2 linked regions of the Canis lupus familiaris genome follow. The protein of the gene in region 2 purifies or fractionates together with the protein of the main gene of each other region. This does not show direct contact. Links are inferred from orthologs where the notes say so. Each region holds a gene or a part of one and is shown on either strand. Other genes may lie near its edges.

Region 1 (6,276 bases), on a different chromosome or scaffold from region 2:
CGGGAAAGAGAATGGGTTTTGGCTGTTTTCAGCGCAAATATATCGAGTATCTGCCATGAGCCAACCAAAGGGCTTATCGAGGTCGATAAACAACCATGCTAAACAGAGAAGAGATAAATGCAGTTCAGGGAGCACCACAATACTTTCAAGAATACGGAGAGAGATGACACTTGGTTTTTGGTCTTTTGCATATTTGATTGAGGGATTTTATATAAACAGTTGATAATATTTAAATCTTTGCGGTTTCTCATGTGAGTTCACATTGTAAGGGATACCAAGTTACTTAAATTTTATTTCTGGTTCCTAAGTTTCAGATTGTAGTAGTTCATATCAGTAGTTTGCTTAGTAAGGATTGTCAGCCTTATGTAAGAACTTTATCCCAGTATTGGCTGGTGAGTAATTCCTGATTGTTTTACCTAACGTTTTTTTTTTTTTTTTTTTTTTTTTTTAATTTTATCTTTTGACTGTTTTATCCCAGGTTCCAGCATTTGAGGGTGACGATGGATTCTGTGTGTTTGAGAGCAATGCCATTGCCTACTATGGTAATTTGCAGTGGGTGTGGGAATGGGAAGACCAGGAATGAAGGAGGTAGGAGAGGATGAGGGTGAGCTGTAGTGGACAGGAGAAGAATTTTTACGGACTTGGATCGATGTTGGCCTGACCCCAAAGTTCTGACCTTTGTGTTCTGCCTCTGCAGTGAGCAATGAGGAGCTGCGGGGAAATACTCCAGAGGCAGCAGCCCAGGTGGTGCAGTGGGTGAGCTTTGCTGATAGCGACATAGTGCCCCCAGCCAGTACCTGGGTGTTTCCTACCTTGGGCATCATGCACCACAACAAGCAGGTAAGCCTTGGAACTTGGGGAGAAGCCAAGGCCCAGGATGAAATCAGCTCCTGAGTGTCAAGGAGCAAGAAATAAAATAGATTGAGAAAAGGAGATGCTAAGAATTTGTGGATAATAAAAGACCTAATCTTTGGGGTATGAGTTTGGAGCACTGCTGTTGATAGTGTCTGGGTTCTTTGTTACACAGACCCAGTTGGAGGTGGTGCCTGTCATGAGTGGTCAGAGGAGAGATTTCTGTTATAGAAAAGCTATCCCAAATGGTAGGGGAGTGGTTACATCAGGTGACTTCTAAGGTTCCTTCTAAAATTCAAAGATAAAGGACTAGGTCATATAGTGGGAAATTAATCCAGACTGCACCATGAGGAAATTTGACCTTGAGAGCTTCCTTTGTGATACATTTGGAGTGATCTGGAATCTGACTCCATTGAAAGAAGATGGGGATGAGCCAGAACTTTGTAAGTGAAATAGCTACCTTAGGTCTGTCATTGGAGGGGAGAGGGAAAGGGATAGGTATCCACTATTAAGTTTTGAATCCTTTTAAATCAATAGGCCACAGAGAATGCAAAGGAGGAAGTGAGGCGAATTCTGGGGCTCCTGGATACTCATTTGAAGACGAGGACTTTTCTGGTGGGCGAACGTGTGACACTGGCTGACATCACAGTTGTCTGCACCCTGTTGTGGCTCTATAAACAGGTGACATTTATAAAGAATTAGGTTGGCAGAGGATAGGGGGCGGTTAGAAATTAAGCCATTAAGTCTTCCAGGTTACCCTGTATTCTGCTGAGGACTTGGATGTGAAGGGTGTCGGGTAACTACTAGTCTATAGGAATCCCAAGTTTGAATACCATGACTACCTTCCCTCCTGAGAAGTTTGGTAATGTTCTGTTTCCTGAGTTTCTGTTTGATAGAAGAGATGTGGTTTGTTTCTGTATTTTTGGGGTCCAGCTGTGCTTGTGCTTAGTTGTAAAGACAGGAAAGGCGGGCAGCCTGGGTGGCTCAGCGGTTTAGCACCGCCTTCAGCCCAGGCCGTGATCCTGGGGTCCCGGGATTGAGTCCCATGTCAGGCTCCCTGCACGGAGCCTGCTTCTCCCTCTGCCTGTGTCTCTGCCTCTCTCTCTCTCTCTCCCCCTTCCTCCCCCCCTCCCTCTCTCTCTCTTTTCTCTCTCTCTCTCTCATGAATAAATAAATAAAATCTTTTTTTTTTTAATTTGTATTTATTTATGATAGTTACAGAGAGAGAGAGAGAGAGAGAGAGGGGCAGAGACATAGGCAGAGGGAGAAGCAGGCTCCAAGCACCGGGAGCCCGACATGGGATTCGATCCCGGGTCTCCAGGATCGCGCCCTGGGCCAAAGGCAGGCGCTAAACCGCTGCGCCACCCAGGGATCCCAAATAAAATCTTTAAAAAAAAAAAAAAAGACAGGAAGGTCTGGTAGCTTCAGTGTCCAGATCTTTTGGAGGCAGGCTGGGTTCAGTTCTTAGTTTCATTACTTACTAGTTGTAGGTAGAGGGATGTGTGTGTTTGAGAGAATTCCTTGAGTTCTTTTTTTTTTTTTTTTTTTTCTCCTCTGTAAGCTATAAAATCAGCATGGTAGTAATTAGTTTTGAGGTTTTTGGGTTAAAGAAGATGACATGTTGCTGACCAAGCAGCTATTGGACTAATATGGGTCCAGAATAGTAGTGCAGTAATTGGAAAATAAAAAAGCATCTCCTTTGTGTCAGGCTCTGTGTCAAGGGCCTTGCAGGGATCATCTTAATCTTTACCTGCTGTATGGGTGAGGAGAAATGGAACCTGGCCCAAGGGAATGTAGCTAGTAAGTGTGGCATAGAGTTTGAACCCAGTACTGCAGAACCAGAGCCAAAGAACTGACCGCTCTGTTCCGTCTTCTTGACAAGATTATTTTCCATATAATCTTAGCAAACTAAAAGATGGTAAATGAGTTTTTTACAAAGCTAAGTTTAAAGGACAGTTTGTTATTCTGAAGTACTTTTTTGCCTTTTTTTTTTTTTTTTTTTTTTTTTTGACTGTTGAATATTCTTTAGCTTCTGAAGTTTGGTGAATAGTATATATCATGTAGATAATTGTGGTTTACTTAGTAAAACGAGTAATTGGTAGCTGTGTTGCCCTGCCTTTTATTTATTTGCTTTAGTTTTATTGATATGACTTTTTTTTTTTTTAAGATTTTATTTTTTTGAGACAAAAAGATACAGCATGAGCAGGGAGGGAGGGCAAAGGGAGAGGGAGAAGCAGGCTCCCGGTTGAGCAGGGAGCCTTAATGTGGGGCTTCATCCCAGGATGCTGGGATCATGCTGGGATTACGACCTGAGCCAAAGGCAGACTTTTAACCTACTGAGCCACCCGAGTGCCCTGACACGTGACATTTAAAAGGTTGGAATGGGTAGGCCTGGGTGGCTCAGCGGTTTAGCGCCTGGTTTAGCGCCTGCCTTCGGCCCAGGGTGTGATCCTGGAGTCCCAGGATCGAGCCCCACATCGGGCTCCCTGCATGGAGCCTGCTTCTCCCTCTGCCTGTGTCTCTGCCTCTCTGTGTGTCTTTCATAAATAAGTAAATAAAATAAAAGGTTGGAATGTGGGACGCCTGGGTAGCTCAGCGGTTGAGCGTCTGCCTTGGGCTCAGGGTGTGATCCCTAGTGCAGGGATTGAGTCTTGCATTGGGCTCCCTGTGAGGAGCCTGCTTCTCCCTCTGTGTTTCTCATGAATAAGATTATAAAGAAATAAAGAAAGATTGGACGTGTAGATGAAATGGTTTTGTAAATGATGTAAGGCACCATATGAACGTGTCTACCAAGTAGATTTATAGTAAATGAGGGGATGGGATCGAGTATCCGCTGAGTTGGACTGTATAGTGAAAAAGAGGAAGGTAAATGGGAAGTACCCTTCCAGGGTAAGATGGTATACTATACTAGGGAGCTCCCATCTCAGGGATTGAGAGGAAGATTGGAGCTTTGGTGTAGAAAGAAATGTCTCTGGCTTGAAACTCCTCAAGAACTTTCTCTCCTTTGCTTCTATTCTACCCTTATGTTTTGACAGGTCCTGGAGCCTTCTTTCCGCCAGGCCTTCCCCAATACCAACCGCTGGTTCCTTACCTGCATTAACCAGCCCCAGTTCCGGGCTGTCTTGGGGGAGGTGAAACTCTGTGAGAAGATGGCCCAGTTTGATGGTAAGTCTGTGGAGATACAGGAGTATATGGCCTGGCTCTGGGCTGGTTGGCTCAGTCTCAGTCCCTTGATTTCCCATCAGGCTTTTGGGTTATGTGAACCCACAAATAAGGTTCACGTATATTTGTTGCTGAGGGTTGTGTTCTTGCTTCAGGACATACAGGGAACTGGTGGCAGAGCAGTGCAGGGCCTAGATCCCTTAGTTCCCTGCCCGGCAGTTTTCCTCCATTACCCTGCTCACTGCCTGCTTTTAGAGGCATATGGAAAGAGGGAGGATATTGACTTCTCTCCCTTTTTCTGCACCAGCTAAAAAGTTTGCAGAGAGCCAACCTAAAAAAGACACCCCACGGAAAGAGAAGGGTTCTCGGGAAGAGAAGCAGAAGCCCCAGGCTGAGCGGAAAGAGGAGAAGAAGGCTGCTGCCCCTGCTCCTGAGGAGGAAATGGATGAATGTGAGCAGGCACTGGCTGCTGAGCCAAAGGCCAAAGACCCCTTTGCTCACCTGCCCAAGAGGTAATGATATTGGGGGGTAGGGGACATGGGACTCCCAAAGGCCACTTTTTGCCTCTGTGTGTTCCCCTCACACAGCTAGGGCTATTTTAGGTTGTCCATACAAAATTGAAAGATGTTTTGTGGGCAGCCCGGGTGGCTCAGTGGTTTAGTGCCACCTTCAGCCCAGGGTGTGATCCCGGAGACCCGGGATCCAGTCCCATGTCAGGCTCCCTGCATGGAGCCTGCTTCTCCCTCTGCCTATGTCTCTGCCTCTCTCTCTCTCTCTCTCTCTCTTCTCTGTGTATTCTCATGAATAAATAAAATCTTAAAAAAAAAAAAAAGATGTTTTGTTTGCAAGGAAAGTTTATCCTCAAGAATTGGATTAATTATTTTATTTTATTTTTTTATTTTATTTTATTTATTTTATTTTATTTATTTTATTTTATTTTAATTATTTATTTTATTTTATTTTATTTTATTTTATTTTATTTTATTTGGGGATCCCTGGGTGGCTCAGCGGTTTAGCATCTGCCTTTGGCCCAGGGTGTGATCCTGGAGTCCCAGGATCAAGACCCACGTCCGGCTCCCTGTGTGGAGCCTGCTTCTCCCTCTGCCTGTGTCTCTGCCTCTCTCTCTCTGTGTCTTTCATGAATAAATAAATAAAAATCTTAAAAAAAAAAAACACAAGCATTTAAAAAAAAGATTTTATTTATCTGAGAAAGAGAGTGTGTGTACACCTATAAGCTGGGTGGGGAGGGGCAGAGGGAGAGGGAAAAAGCAGCAGGATCCCTGCTGAGCAGGGAACCTGACCTCATGACCTGAGCTGAAGGCAGACACTTAATCTACTGAGCCACCCAGGTGCTCCAAGAATTGGATGAATTTTAAAAGTGGAAATGAAATTTCTAATATATCTAGTATTTGGGAAGATAAGAACTCCTTTTCCAGCAAAGAATGTAGACAGGCACAGAATTGGGTGTGGAGGTAGACTGGTCTTAAGTATGCTCAATAAGATTTGAGAGTCCTCAGAACTAATATAAGAAGGTGCAGAGAGCCTCATGTCTACCCTGCTGGGCTGCCTTTGCTGAAGCAGTGACACCACATCAGTGTTGTTTTATTATATTTTTACCCTTTTGATGAAGGCAGTATAAACATTCTCTCTGAGAAGCGAGGATGACTATGACTCCATAGTGCCTGTCTGCTTCATTATTTCTCAGATTGCTGGAGTTAAACCCCTAAAAGAAAAGGAAATAGATGGGACGGTTGTCACCCCTATCCACTGCCAACCTTTTTAATGAAGTTTGGGGTTCTTGGAAGAAAAGAATACAGTAAAAGGAAACTTTTCAGTGTGAAAAAAAGCAGGACATCTAGCACTACTCACATCATCAGCTAATGCCCTAGGTTTTTCATTAGAATTGCAAGCATTAGGAGACCTGTCTTGTCTGTGGCCACTTCACAGAGTCCTTGATCCCAGCTTTTCTCACCCACTCCCTGCTTTTCTCACCCACCCAAAGCCATCCAGCCTTTCTTAGTTGGTCTGTTAGGGTTCAACAGAGTTCACCCTCTGCCATTTTGTAATTTTTTTTTTAAGATTTAATTTATTTTAGAAGGGGACAGTGTGTGCATGAGTAGGGGGAGGGGCAGAGGGAGAATGGGAGAGAGAAGCAGACTCCCCATTGAGTGCAGAGCCCAAAACGAGGCTCCATCTCATAGCTCTGAGATCATGACCTGAGTGGAAATCAAAGTTGGATGCTTAACTGACCGAACCATCCAC
Region 2 (6,214 bases):
ACCTGCTGGCGGGGTGGGGGGCAGCGCAGGGCCCGGGACTCCTGGTGGGGCAGCAGGCGGCAGGGCCGAGCGCTGGAGAGCAGGGCAGGGTGACTCATCACCAGGCTCCTGACTGGTCATGGGGTTCGCCCAGCCTGGTGTCTCTCCATCTCTCCAGAGGGGGGCTAACCTGCTTCAGGGGGCCCTGTGGGCACGACACCCAGATATTTGGAGGACACTGGACCGTGGGGGCTTGCCGGCTGACCCAAACGGGCCAGGCCCAGGCTGAGGGGGGCTGAGGGGACTTCCTGCCCCAACAGATGTGGGAATGTCGCTCCTTCTGCAGGCAGGGGTGTGCTGGGCACTGTCTGTGGGTTCTCTCTGAAGCCCCCATCACCTGTCCCCCGCCCCACCCCACAGAATCCCAGAATCCCAGCCACAGCGCTCCAGGCCGTCCCAGCCCCTCCCCACCCCCCCGGGCAGCATGGGCAAGGAGAAGACCCACATCAACATTGTGGTCATTGGCCACGTGGACTCGGGCAAGTCCACCACCACGGGCCACCTCATCTACAAGTGCGGAGGCATCGACAAGAGGACCATTGAGAAGTTCGAGAAGGAAGCCGCTGAGGTGAGCCTGTCCCCTCCCCCGCCCACTAAGAGGTCGGCCCCACGTGGTGGCCGGGCTGGCGCTCAGTGACTCTGGGGCATGAGGCTCCGCTGACCTCCCCCAGGGCGAGGGGGCACGAGGGGGCACGAGCCCTAAAGGACCTGCCTGGGGGCCAGTACCTGAGGGATGGGGGCCCTGGGGGCAGCCTCCCAGGGGATGTGCTTGGAGTGGGGCAGGGCCGGCCGGCTGGAGGGGCCTCCGGGTCAGGGAGGTGCCCTGGGGGCAGCCTTTCTGGCTCTGGAAACCTCTGGCGAGTTGGGGTGGAGCACCCTGGAACCCGCGTGGGGTTCCTGTGTCTCCGGGGCTGAGGGGGTGATGCCCTCACTTGTCCCAGGGCTGGGCCAGGACTCAGGGCGGCTATTAATAGCTGATTGATGGGCACCCAGCCCATCAGCTCCATTTTCTCAGGCTGGGCTGGGGAGGGCTGCTCGTCCAGGGTGGAGCTCTTTTGGGGGGGTCCTGGTTGCCTCTTGTGCCTCGTGACAATGATGGGGGCCCCGTTGACTGACCTCCTTTCTCTTAAGTGGCCGAGCCGGTGGGTGGGAAGTGACCACGGAGTGGGTGTCTGCCCTTTGCAGCCTCTACCCCCACCCCTGGGCTCCGGGAGAGGCCCCGTCTGGGTGGCCGTGAGGGTGTTTCCTGGATGACAGGGGCTGGGGCCTGGGCCCAGGAGGCCTCAGTTGCCGGCCTGGGCTGACCCTGCTCAGAGTGAGTGTGTGGGTGTTGCGCTGGGCGGCCTCCCTCCGCGCCTGAGCCCAAAAGCTGCGTCACTCCCTCCTTCCATGCGGGGTTGGCGCTGGCGGAGGCTGTGGGGGTTTGCAGGATGCCTGGCTCAGGTCTCGCTGGGTCCCCTCTGGGCCCTGTCTGGGTGGCCCTCCTGGCTGGGCAGCCTCCCTGGAGGCCAGAGCCCTGTCCATGCACAGCCCTGCGGGGGTTTTGTCCTGCTGGGCAGCAGCCTCAGCTCTGGCCCAGGGTATGGGGGTCTCCGCCGGGCTGGGCACAGGTGTCTGCAGGTGGAGCCTTAGAGCTACTTGGAAGCCTTGGCTGTAGAAAGAGCTGGAAAGCCAGGCCCTTCCATGCAACCTCATCCAATTTCCTTTTTTTCCCTTAAAAAAAAAATCGTCATAGAGGGTTTTGTTTTGTGTTTTGGGCTTGACACCTTGACGGTGGCGTTGTGGGCCTCCGGTTCATGCAGGGATCTCCGGGGCTGGGGGTGGCCAGCGCGGAAAAAGGGGAGCCCTCAGCCAGGGGAGGGGTTTAAAGGCCTGGTGGCTTCTCTCCAAGCCTGGCTCCCAGGCCCTTGCGCCACCTCCTGGAGGACGTCCGAATGGCAACCATCTAGAGGGCAGGAGCCGGGGACACCGGGTGGCAGGGCCCGGGCAGGGCAGGGCTGAGGTCTGGGTGCCCCTCAGGGTCCTTGCTCCTGGCTCCCTCATTCTACAGACGATCAGAGCCCTAGGGCCCCGTGGGGAGTGAGGGAGCCTGGCACCCAGGCCTCTGCTGCGAATGCTCCCGTGGCCCAGGGGGACCCGTGGCCAGCGGGCTGAGTCCCGGGTCCCTCCTTAAGCCATGCCCCACCTGTGCAGATGGGGAAGGGCTCCTTCAAGTATGCCTGGGTGCTGGACAAACTGAAGGCGGAGCGGGAACGTGGCATCACCATCGACATCTCCCTCTGGAAGTTCGAGACCACCAAGTACTACATCACCATCATCGACGCCCCCGGCCACCGTGACTTCATCAAGAACATGATCACCGGCACATCCCAGGTGGGCGGGGCTGTGGGGGGCCAAGGGGACCCGAGGGGCCAGGGCCCTGGGGTCCTGGAGGGGTGGCTGGGCTCCCTCCGCTTCCTTGCCAGGGCAGGCACCCCCCACCCCACCTGCTACAGAGCCGCCCCCAGAGAATGATTAGGTGCCCGTCACCTCAGCCAGGCAGAGGGGCCGGGAGGGACTGTGGGTCAGGGCCGCCGTTGCAGACAGACACACGGACCCAGATAGACGGCCGTCCGCACGGATGGACAAGGCCCTGCTGCTGCCCCTGGTCGAGACCCCTGGGGCCCACCCCCGGGCGACCGCCTGGAGGGGCCCGGGCTCACGGCGACCTGCGGGCAGGCGGACTGCGCGGTGCTGATCGTGGCGGCGGGCGTGGGCGAGTTCGAGGCGGGCATCTCCAAGAACGGACAGACCCGCGAGCACGCGCTGCTGGCCTACACGCTGGGCGTGAAGCAGCTCATCGTGGGGGTCAACAAGATGGACTCCACGGAGCCGGCCTACAGCGAGAAGCGCTACGACGAGATAGTCAAGGAGGTCAGCGCCTACATCAAGAAGATCGGCTACAACCCGGCCACCGTGCCGTTCGTGCCCATCTCGGGCTGGCACGGGGACAACATGCTGGAGCCCTCGCCCAACGTGAGTGCCCGCGGGCGGGCGGGCGGGTGGGCGCGGGGCTGCGGGGACCCCTCCCTGAGAGCCGGGCCCGGGCGCGGACCAGGCGCGGGCAGGACCCGGGCTCCCCCGGGCATCCACGCCCCGCCCTGCTGCGCTCGCTTCCGCGTGGGGCTCGTGCTCGGGGCGCGGGCCTCGTGGCCCCGCGAGGCCGGCACAGGCCCCTTCCCTGGCCAGGGGTGCCCCCTCCGGCGGGGAGCGCGGGAGCAGTGCCGCCGGGTCCGAGGCCCGGTGCTCGGTGCCTGGGGGCTCTGCCCGGCCCGTCCTCACCTTGCCAGGAGCCTCTGCGGGCGCGGGCAGGTTAGGCTCTGGGAGGGGCCGAGGGCTCGCTCTCCACCGGCCGGGTGGGAAGCCTGTGGCTCGGGCAGCCTGCGGCGCGGGGACTGGGGAGGTGAGGAATTCTCAGAGCCTGAGGCCAGGTGCCTGGACAGTGGGGCCAGAGGACGCGCCTGGCCCAGGAGGGCGGCCGTCTGCTCTGGCCAGTGCTGCGGGCGGGGAGGGGCCCTTGAAGAGCCAGGGGGACTGTCCTGGAGCCCTGTGGTCAGGGGACGAGGCTGGGGACCCTGCCCCCGGCTCGCTGGGCTGCGGGTTTGCCTGGTGAGGGTCCCACACGGCTGTCGTGTGGCGATGGGTGAGTGGACTGCACTCCCCACCCTCCCGGGAGGCGGACAGGGCGCCCTACCCTAGAGTGTCCCGTTCCTGACCTGCTGCTCGGGGAGCTGGCTGCTGATCTGTGCCCCCCACAGGACCCAGTCCCACCGGGCGGGCTGGGCGGTGCTGCCGGCCCCTCGCCTCTGCCTGCCCGTGGCCAGCGGGCCGGGGGGCTCCATGCCAGGAGGGTGCTGGGTCTGCTGCCGGGAAGCCCTGGGCAGGGAAGGGCCAGCCGGGCCCGGAGACGGTTGGCACAGTGGCTGGGGGCCGCGTGGACTCTCTGCCTCTGGCCTGGCCGCTGGCCAGCCTCCAGCCCTTCCCGCGCCGGTGCCAGCCCTGCCCGGGGGGTCCGAGGGCTGCAGGAAAGGGGGACTAAGCGGGACTGGGCTCCACATCTTTTCCCCGACCTCTTCCAAGGCTTCCGTGATGTTGGGAGTGTGAACTGGGGGGTGAGGAGGGTGCGGGGACCAGCCGTGCAGCATCGTGATGGACGTGGGTAAAGAGCTGAACATTGGGCAGTGGAGAGGGCGGGTCTGTGCTCCCCTGCTCCCCAGGCCCCCCTCAGGTCAGGTACCTCCACCGGGATTCCTGGAGGGTCCCGGGAGGCCGTGGGGCTATGGTGTAGGGCAGCGAGGGTGCAGGAGGTCTCTCCCTCCAATGGATACCTTCTTCTTCCCATCCAGATGCCGTGGTTCAAGGGCTGGAAAGTGGAGCGTAAGGAGGGGAACGCCAGTGGCGTGTCCCTGCTGGAGGCCCTGGACACAATCCTGCCCCCTACACGCCCCACAGATAAGCCCCTGCGTCTGCCACTGCAGGACGTGTACAAGATTGGTGGTGAGTGAGGGTTCAGTGTTGGACACCTGCTGCTCCACTGGGGGCACCCGGCCCGCCCACCCCGCTCCTGAGCCCAGGGCCCCTGACAGGAGCTTCTGAGGCCAAGTTATCTGCCTCTTCCCCAGTGCTGTACACTCTGGGGACCATCCATCCATCCGTCCATCTCCCATCCATGCTCCATCCCTTCATCCAACCATCCACATATGCATGTACCCCCATCCATCCCTCCATCCTTTCATCCATTCCTCCATCCCTCCATCCCTCCCTCCATCCATCCCCCCATCCCTCCCTCCCTCCACTCCCTCCCTCCATCCATCCATCCATCCCCCATCCATCCCTCCCTCCGTCCATCCTTCCCTCATCCTTCCATCCATCCATCCATCCATCCATCCATTCCTCCATCCATCCATCCATCCATCCCCCATCCATCCATCCCTCCCTCCCTCCCTCCCTCTATCCTTCCATCCATCCATCCATCCATCCCTCCATCCATCCCCCATCCATCCATCCTTCCCTCCATCCTTCCATCCATCCATCCATCCATCCATCCATCCATTCCTCCATCCATCCATCCATCCATCCCCCATCCATCCATCCCCATCCATCCATCCCCCATCCATCCATCCCTCCCTCCCTCCCTCCCTCTATCCTTCCATCCATCCATCCATCCATCCCCCATCCATCCATCCCTCCCTCTCTCCCTCCCTCCCTCCCTCCATCCCTCCCTCCATCCTTCCATCCATTCATCCATCCCTCCATCCACCCTTCCCTCCATCCATCTCTCCATCCATCCATCCATCTCTCCGTCCAGATAGCTATTTACTCCCACACATTCATCTGTCCATTCACCCATCCATTCATCTACCTGTCCATGCATCCATTCAAACATCCATCCACCTGTCGATTCACACAGCTGTCTACCCTCACAATCCATCTGTCCATCCACCCGCCCACCCACTCATCCACCTGTGTATCATCCATTCACACATCCATCCACCCCCACCCATCCACCCATCATCTGTTTCAGGGTCTTCTTCCCTTCAGATAAGCACTCAGCCCTGTGACAGGAGTGGGTGGCACAAGGGTAACTCACATGTCCCCTCCCTCCATGACAGTCCCAGGCTTGTGGGAGACACGATCTAGTCCAGCTCCAGGCATAAGAAAATCTATTCATTAGATGACAGGGCAAGCATAAACAAGCACAAGGCCCTGAGGGGCACTGCTGGAGACTCCCAGTCCAGAGGCTACGGGCAGGGCAGGGCAGGCGTGACACACTCACCCGGCACACAGAACAGCCACCAGCCTTAGTCTCTGTCGCATCACAGCCAGGGATGTGGGGGTGGAGCCTCCCCCCCACACATGCGGGGCGGGGGGGGGGGGGACCAGACACCCACTGGGCAGCCACGTGAGTGCAGCAGGTCCATGACTAGGGGTGGAGCACCCGCCCCTTTGGGGGTGGCTCCCCTCGACACCAGCAACAGCAAAGCCAGGCCAGGAGTCCCGGGTGGGCTGTTCATCCGCCCACTCTGCTGCTGCCGCCTCCCCAGGAGGGGAGTCCAGGGAGGGAGGGGTCCCTACAGTGCCCCTCCAGGGGATAGCTGCCGCCTGGGGCAGGGGTAGGACTCCAGGTCCAGAGAGG

The links.
Region 1: the proteins of EEF1A2 (region 2) and EEF1G purify together in Homo sapiens (affinity purification with mass spectrometry; 4 studies listed by BioGRID and IntAct, counting the BioPlex papers as one, with this or other methods). This does not show direct contact. The link is inferred for Canis lupus familiaris from reciprocal best matches to the Homo sapiens genes EEF1A2 and EEF1G.

What each region holds. Positions count from the first base shown.
Region 1 is NC_049239.1:54,582,790-54,589,065, forward strand, and holds part of EEF1G (elongation factor 1-gamma), read left to right. Parts: intron 1-478; coding exon 479-542; intron 543-697; coding exon 698-840; intron 841-1,389; coding exon 1,390-1,533; intron 1,534-3,887; coding exon 3,888-4,017; intron 4,018-4,321; coding exon 4,322-4,526; intron 4,527-6,276. UniProt on the Homo sapiens protein: Probably plays a role in anchoring the complex to other cellular components.
Region 2 is NC_049245.1:47,946,448-47,952,661, reverse strand, and holds part of EEF1A2 (elongation factor 1-alpha 2), read left to right. Parts: intron 1-399; 5' UTR 400-463; coding exon 464-607; intron 608-2,232; coding exon 2,233-2,412; intron 2,413-2,757; coding exon 2,758-3,054; intron 3,055-4,424; coding exon 4,425-4,575; intron 4,576-6,214. UniProt on the Homo sapiens protein: Translation elongation factor that catalyzes the GTP-dependent binding of aminoacyl-tRNA (aa-tRNA) to the A-site of ribosomes during the elongation phase of protein synthesis.